2 linked regions of the Schizosaccharomyces pombe genome follow. The protein of the gene in region 2 interacts with the protein of the main gene of each other region in a pairwise test. Each region holds a gene or a part of one and is shown on either strand. Other genes may lie near its edges. The genes, in order: fma1 and zng1.

What was found.
Region 1: the proteins of zng1 (region 2) and fma1 interact in a two-hybrid assay, tested with the Schizosaccharomyces pombe proteins (one large-scale study listed by BioGRID).

What each region holds. Positions count from the first base shown.
Region 1 is NC_003423.3:2,676,903-2,680,948, forward strand, and holds fma1 (methionine aminopeptidase Fma1), read left to right. Parts: upstream 1-1,888; 5' UTR 1,889-1,970; coding exon 1,971-2,087; intron 2,088-2,139; coding exon 2,140-2,160; intron 2,161-2,209; coding exon 2,210-2,255; intron 2,256-2,315; coding exon 2,316-3,271; 3' UTR 3,272-3,381; downstream 3,382-4,046. Other genes in the region: SPOM_SPBC3E7.09 (Sad1-UNC-like protein), read left to right, coding at 1-1,694; SPOM_SPBC3E7.11C (DNAJ domain-containing protein type Caj1/Djp1), read right to left, coding at 3,531-4,046. UniProt on the Schizosaccharomyces pombe protein: Cotranslationally removes the N-terminal methionine from nascent proteins. The N-terminal methionine is often cleaved when the second residue in the primary sequence is small and uncharged (Met-Ala-, Cys, Gly, Pro, Ser, Thr, or Val).
Region 2 is NC_003423.3:3,018,745-3,023,058, reverse strand, and holds zng1 (nucleotide-binding domain-containing protein CobW/HypB/UreG), read right to left. Parts: upstream 2,379-4,314; 5' UTR 2,207-2,378; coding exon 971-2,206; 3' UTR 822-970; downstream 1-821. Other genes in the region: NatC N-acetyltransferase complex catalytic subunit Naa30, read right to left, coding at 86-422, 511-626; gpt2 (UDP-N-acetylglucosamine--dolichyl-phosphate N-acetylglucosaminephosphotransferase), read right to left, coding at 3,475-4,314. UniProt on the Schizosaccharomyces pombe protein: Zinc chaperone that directly transfers zinc cofactor to target metalloproteins, thereby activating them.

The sequences.
Region 1 (4,046 bases), 340 kb from region 2:
GTGATACCATTTCTTCTAATTTTTTGTCAAAATATGAATATTCCAATGGAACAAGTACTAGCGAATTTATAGATTCAATTAGCCCACCATTGGTGAACGAGACGTCTACAATTTCATCCTCAAAGAAGCTAGAGCAAAACTATTCTGTAACGGAAGTTATTGATACTAATATTATTACTAGTTCTTCGGTTACTCTACCAATTTCTGAGGATGGTTCCTCTACTTCAGCAGCAGCTACAATTGATTCAAATATAGATGAAAAGACTGTTGCATTCTCAGAAGAAAAAAGATTCAACTTTGCTTCAACTGACTGCGCTGCTGCTGTCATTAAAACAAATCCTGAAGCAGTCGGATCTTCTTCGATTCTGACCGAAAACAAAGACAAATATATGCTGAACAAATGTTCCGCTGAAAACAAGTTCGTGGTAATTGAACTTTGTGAGGATATTTATGTCGATACAGTTCAAATTGCCAACTTCGAATTTTTTTCAAGTATATTTCGTGATTTCAAGGTCAGTGTAAGCGGTAAATATCCAAAATACGAGTCTTCTTGGATGGAATTGGGTACATTTACGGCCTTAAACCTAAGGACTCTTCAATCTTTTCATATTGAGAACCCTCTTATTTGGGCGAAGTATCTTAAAATAGAGTTTTTAACTCATTATGGGTCAGAATTTTATTGTCCTGTAAGCCTACTTAGGGTTTATGGAAAAACTATGATAGAAGAATTTGAAGAAGCAAATGAAGACTTCTTAGAACAAAAAGTGAACGACGGAAGCGCTATTAAAGCAGATGAAATCCGGAAGCCTCAAGAAAGTCCTATTTTTGTGGACGAAGAAGATACCGATGTTCAAAGCAAACCAGTGAGAAAGAATCCATCAGTCGAGTTGAATAGTACAGACACCTTACTTTCTTCTACTGTGATATCTAAGTCTTTGAGCACTGTTGTTATAGGAAATGAAACAGGAAAAAGTGAATCATATCCTGCAACATCAACTCGCTCTTTTAACGATATTTCTCCATCTTCTTCATCTTCTTACAGTACCGCTCAAATATCTACCTTTCCTTCTAATCAGGAAAGCATTTACAAAAACATAAATAAGCGTCTTTCTACCTTAGAAGAACGGAAGAAGGCATTTGATGAAATTGTAGAAAAAATATTAACAAATTATGGTAAGCACAATGCCAAAAACATGAATTTTACGCAGCTATTACATGAATTGAACTCGACCCTTCAATTAGAAATTTCGAAATTGTCGAAAAGTGTCGTTAAGCCGTCTTTGTTTGCTCTCCAAGCTAAACTTGAGCTTCTTTCTGCAGAAAATGAATACTTTCAGAGTCAAATTACTTCACTATATCAAGAATCATCTTTTCAAAAGCGACTTTTAATGCTTCAACTCACGGTTCTAATCGTTTTAACAGTGTATATGGCCGTATCGAGGCTTCCAGAAAATCTGCCAACAACCCGTTCATCTTCAAACAACCCTATTGAGGCTTCAAGACCACCTTTTTCACGTGACGAGCAAGATATTTCGAAGGCCAACGATTTTCGCGTTAGCGCTTCCTCAGCGGTTTATACCGTTGGACCTGAACTACTGCAAAGAAAAAAGCGAGATCCAAATACCAGCATACGCAGTATACACGAAAGAGAACAAGATAAAATTATACATTCTAGGAGCCATTCAGTATGCTAATCATAGAATGTATTGTGAAACTTCCATATTTTTTCATAAGTTAATGATTTAAATTCATATTAAAATTAGAAAAATGAATTATTTATTTAAAAACTGAAAAGCATATATTAAAGTTATTTTTTTAGTTTTGCAAAAATCATAACTTTAAAGAGTGGCATTGGGTTATATAGGTTCCAACGACATTAATGTACTTCACGGCTACGAAGCACTAGTGTGACTAGAAATTCTCGAGTCTAGAAACTAAGGCGAGTGATACCCTTAAGACAAAGTATTTATATGGCTACTGAAATTGCAAAACATATTTGTTGCGGTATAGATTGTAATAATGAAGCTGACAGACTGCAATGTCCCAAATGTCTAAATGACGGAGTTAAATCTTACTTTTGTGGACAGGTAATTTAGTTTTTCTGTTAGTTTACGTATTTACTAATTCAAAAAAAAAAAGGAATGCTTCAGGAACAGCTGGGTAATACAAGAAAATTTCGTGTAACGTAAATTAACACTAGGTAATCCAGAATATTCACAAACATCTTCATCGTCCACCGAATGTAGAAAAGAGAGGTACGTACAACAAAAGTATATAGCTTTTATTTTCAAGCGTTTTTCTAATTTGTTCATCAGAGGATGGAACTTACAATCCTTTCCCAAAATTTCATTTCGCAGGTTCATTGAAACCAGTTTATCCGCTTTCGCCTATACGCAAGGTTCCTCCACATATAAAAAGACCTGACTATGCGAAGACAGGAGTCTCTCGTAGCGAGCAAATTGAAGGTCGAAGCTTCAAACTGAAGAGATTGACACCCAAGGAGCAGGAAGGTATGCGTAAAGTATGTAGACTTGGTAGAGAGGTACTTGATGCTGCCGCTGCTGCCGTCCGTCCTGGAACAACTACCGATGAACTTGATAGTATTGTTCATAATGCATGCATTGAACGTGATTGTTTTCCAAGCACCCTTAACTATTACGCGTTCCCAAAAAGTGTTTGTACTTCTGTGAACGAAATCATCTGTCACGGAATTCCAGATCAAAGGCCACTTGAGGATGGTGATATTGTAAACATTGATGTTTCCCTTTACCATAACGGTTTTCATGGTGACCTAAATGAGACTTACTATGTTGGAGATAAAGCAAAAGCAAATCCTGACCTCGTTTGCCTTGTAGAAAATACGAGAATTGCTTTGGATAAAGCAATTGCTGCGGTAAAACCGGGAGTATTGTTTCAGGAATTCGGAAATATTATTGAAAAGCATACAAATAGCATTACTGAGAAGCAGATTTCTGTCGTCCGCACATATTGTGGACATGGAATCAACCAGTTATTTCACTGTTCTCCTAGTATTCCTCATTATTCCCACAACAAGGCACCTGGAATTGCTCGCCCAGGAATGACTTTTACAATCGAACCTATGCTTACTCTAGGTCCCGCCCGAGACATTACCTGGCCGGATGATTGGACTAGTTCAACTGCATCTGGACGCTGTTCTGCTCAATTCGAACATACACTGTTAGTTACAGAGACTGGTTGTGAAGTTTTAACAGCCAGACTCCCCAATTCACCTGGAGGGCCCTTAAAATAAATTTTGATATACCCAACATGAATTAAAATAAAAGCAGAAAATTTTTCTTTGTATATGAAATTTATAAGTAAAAGGCTGAAAGAATTATATATGAGATTTCCTTCCTTTAACCAGAATAATGACACTTGTACAAACACATTGACTATATTACATACTTGCTGAAAAATGTGAGGTGCATACCCAAATCAAAAGCCTTCGTAGTCGACTATGAACCAATTTCCAACAATCACTAACCTTTATTACGTAAATCCAATAATGACTATTTACCTCTGTCGTTCATTAAGTCTTCAAAATAATTAGCGTCACTCTTTTCGTTTGGCGCGACTTTCAGAAATACCTGACCTATCATAAGCAAGGCATTAGCGCGATTTATCCTTTTCTCAAGAGGAACAGCTTTATCATAAAGAATCTTGTCGCTCACAGTTCTTATCACACTTTGAACTTCAAAACGCGTTCCTTTCCATGTTGCAGATAAAACTTTACCAGTTAGTTCACGGGCAGCTTCATCTCTTTTTTCTTTGGACCATTGCTCTTCACCTTCTTCTGCTTTTGCTAACGCAGCTGCAGAGGACTGAACATCTACAGCACTAACAACCGTATTCCAAGTGTCTTTCAATAAAGTTCCTTTTGCACAAAGACTTCCCCATACACCTCTGATACCCAAAAAAGATTGGGATTGGATAAGTATGTTCGCACGTTGCACATATGTGGAACCAATCGCATGAAGCATTTCATTCCCAAATGACTCATCTTTTAGTAATTCTGCTTCAAATTG
Region 2 (4,314 bases):
AAACTTTCACTTATACTGCGACAAGTGGAAACAAATTTTCTTAGAGCATAGAAAATGCCGCGATTTTATTTTGTAGCATTGTTTTTCAATTCGGGTACAAGATGTATCGAAATGCATCAGTGCCGTTCAAATAATAACGATAAAGACGTTTATAGCGACAAAACCCGAGTCTTTCATAAAAAGACATGGCTGCCTCATTATCCACCTCTGTTTCCAAAACAATTTCCTGGGCACCTCTATTTTTCATTACATCCAGACTAGCTTGAGTCAATTTAGTAGCGATTCCTTGTCCCCTGTATTCTTTTACTATGGCCAGCATTGCTATATAACCTCTAAGCGTCGTCCCTCTATGAACATCTTGTTTGCATATTACAGCTCCAATAAATCGATCATTATCTAAAGCAACAAAACTGAATTCTGGCCTTTAATCTGTCAGTAAACTATAATGATATTGCCGAGTTTCATAATATGCAAGAAGCAGTTTGAGAAATCAATGAAATGGGAACATACCATTGGTGCACAAAATAACGATACACATATTTACTATATGGCTCACTCAAATCTTTTTGAATAAGCTGACATATATCTTTTAAATATTGGTGACTGTATGGGACAATTGTCACCATTCTCTTCTAGATATAATTTAGGGTCTGTAACGGTTGCAGAGCTGTATATATCAACAGCTTTAAGACGAATGTCGAAATTACAGATATAGCGTTAAAACGTTATATGCGGTTCTTAAACTGAGTATTATAAACAATGAATAAACGAGTAGGCCAGTATAAATTAAGTTTATAATTTGGCTTTTTTGCTTGGATTTGTTACATCTATGTCAATGATATGACATTTATAATATTGAGTGTTATATAAAATAATTTAGTATAAAAGCTTTTTATTGCGTACATTTAAAATTAATTCAACAAACATATATCAATATACATTATTAAAATGAAATATAAAATAACTGCCATTATTGGTTTCCGACGACGAAAGGAGATATTCGATGTAGATTACGCCCAATTAGGATAATTTCGGGATGGATATCCTTTTCTAAAAATGCTCGAGGCTTCTCCGACAGCGGCATAATTTCGAATACTTCGCGAACACCCTGAAAGATGTACCAAGAGCCATCGTCTTTATTAAAAATTCCTTTACTTCGATAAATCATAAACTCCTCGTCTTCCCCTTCCTCCAAACAAGACCAAAGTGTATGACGAACCCATTGTAGAAATTGCTGAAAAACCTCTTTCGACATTAGTGGGGGCAGTTTAAAAGTATGAGTTGAGATATCAAGGCTATGCGTATCGAGAGAATGCAAATGTTGGCAATCCACGTCCAAACAAGTAGAACAATTAATATTGCTATCATTGCTCCTTTGAATCGACCACTCAAGATTAGAAGTATTTTCGTTGCCGTATGCATCCAAGTCCAAAATTTCAGAAATGTCATCCAACCGTCCATATGTTGTTTCAATAATCTTCGCTAAGCAATTGATCTTCAATATAGTTTGACGTACCACAGATAATGCTTCAGAAGAAATAAGATCTGTTTTGTTTAAGATCAAACAATCAGCATGTGAAATTTGAATAAAACCAATATCACTTTCATCCTTTAAGATATTATCTATATTTTTACAATCAATAACAGTAACGATGCCATCTAACTTGACATCGCTTTTCAACGCGTCGTCCAACCAAAATGTTTGAGCAAGAGGACCAGGATTGGCTATACCCGTTGTTTCAATTACAATGTTATCAAATCTCCCCTTTTGCCTCATAATTTTTTCCAAAGCTTTAATCCCATTGTCTTTCACAGTGCAACACATGCACCCATTTGAAAGAGCCACCCACTCTTCATAAAGTTCTTCTCCTCCAACATCCTCCATTAAGCTCCTTTCAAGGTCTCCCGAATCACCCACCTCATTCATTAATACAGCAACCCTTTTACCATTTCGATTTTCAAGAATTGACCGTAGCAAAGAAGTTTTACCGGCACCCAAAAAGCCCGTCAGTATTGTGACAGGGACTGGGTCCAAGGTAGAGTCATGATCAACTAGAAGAAAATCTGATTGCTGCTCAAATGAATCAATATCATTATTGGACGAAACCGTAGGTACGCTTAATGTTTCCGAATGCGGTTGTGTGTTAACCTCTTCAACGTCAACCAGCTGTGGAATTTCCGACTCGTTTTCAATTTCAAAGTCCATTCTTACACCTTTTTTAAATAATGGTCATATAATTAATCTTTTCGAGTTGAATACTTTGAGAAATACTTCTAAAAGCCTCAATTTAGGTCTCACAGGTAAATACTTTCGAAAAGTGTTAATAATGAATTTTTTTAGTATGAAATTAGCACAACACTGTGTTTGCACTATATGCAGTCATTTCGTATAACACTGACATGGTTTTATAGCGAAAATTGTCAGCAGCTACGAATGAATAGTGTGATAAATTACTTATACAACGAATTTTACATGAAATGACTTTATAGCAAAAGCAAGACATCAGAGCAAAATAATAATAAACATAGCAAGTAATTTATTAAAACTACATATAGGCAATAGAATCTTTAAACATATTATTGCGAAATATTAATTATGATACAATAATTTACAATTATATATGATGAAAGAAAATGTTACTTTACATAATCCATTTCGGATAACTTTACTATTTAAGGCAACCATATCGCCTTAATTAGTAAAATTGCCCCAAATGAGGGACGAACTCAAAAATGATGCATCCGGAGCTGACCTTAGCCAGTCCACAGTTATTCGTCAGGGCTCAGTGCAATGCCAAGACAAATAACTGAGTCTCCACAATTCTTGTGCTGCAGAAACTCATGCCAGGTAAGTAAAGAACCGTAAGTGTAAGCACCCATATTTATAGTAACGACGCGGAACGAAGCAGTCACGAAAGTAGTCACATTCTTACATGCAATAAAGAAGTACAGTATAATTATTTAACAAAAATGATATTTAAATCGTTAAATTTTGCTGATTAGTGAAATCGTTCAGCGATTTGTAATTATATAAATCTCCAAAATTTCATAATAGGAAATGATTTCGTTGCTTTCAAGCCATGAATAGTTAACACGATGTATTAGTTTCTTAACTGAGTATTTTCGTAATGTCTAATCAATGCTATTTTCAGATGACTTTGGCAAGTTCTTGTAAACTCTTGTATTTTATTTTATTATTTTATAGATAAAATTAGTGTAAAATGACAGGTTACCAAAGACTTAAAGAAAGTTGTGTTTAACTAATCTCATCTGAATGAATTTTTGGTATTCAAATATGTGGACAAACATCGGAAACAAATTCAGTACAGTCTGTACACAACGTACAAAAGAAATGAAAGAAGAAGTCATAATAATTAACTATTTTCCAATTTTCAGTTAGAAAAATAAAAAAAAATAGAAAAAACCGGACTTCCATAGATGCTCATTTTTGGTCCAAAACATGTGGAATGTGAATTATATGTTATCTTCAGGATACACTAAAGGAGCGACAAAATGCCTGATAATTAAACCGAATATTCCGGTAAGTAATTGCAATCCCATTATACATATTGTTAAATGGTCTTCCCTCATTGGGCCCAGATGATACAAAACAAAATTAATAATTGTAAAGTTCGTACACCTGAGCGGGCGCCCGGTGCTAGGATCGTACTCAACCCGAATCAATCGTAATTTTTCAAAAATAGAAATAGTCAGCAAAGTCTTTTTAGGTAAAGGATGCTCGTTTAGAGAGAATTCTGTGTAGGAGTTTTCCAACAATCCAGTTTTCACATTTAGTTTAGGAAGTCGATGACGGGGACATTCAACCAATCCAAAAAGCTGTGGAACGGAAAGCGCAAAATTGAAAATTTGAGGGATAAAAAAGAGCATAAGTGTCTTAGAGAAATGACCTAAAATTCCAACAACTGCCATTACCATTCCTGCAAAATAGCAAAACGTATCACCTACAAACACTCGCGAAGGCCACCAATTGTATTTTAGAAGCCCAGCAGTGACACCTATAAGAGGCAAGACTAGATAAAGGGAAAGGAGATGAGCTCTTAATGCATCCTTATTTTTGGGAGAGAGTACATAAAACAAATCATTGCAAGCAATAACAAGAGCAAGAACAAGCGATTGGCCTGCCTCAACACCATTTACTCCAGCAATAATGTTAATACTGTTTGGACAAAAAATCGCAACCGCAGCCATATAAAAGTAATAAAGAAAACCCAAGTTGATAAGAGATCTCTTTAAAAATGGTCTTACAATGCTAGGAACGGACACATAAGTAACTCCATAGTCAACGTAGTAAAC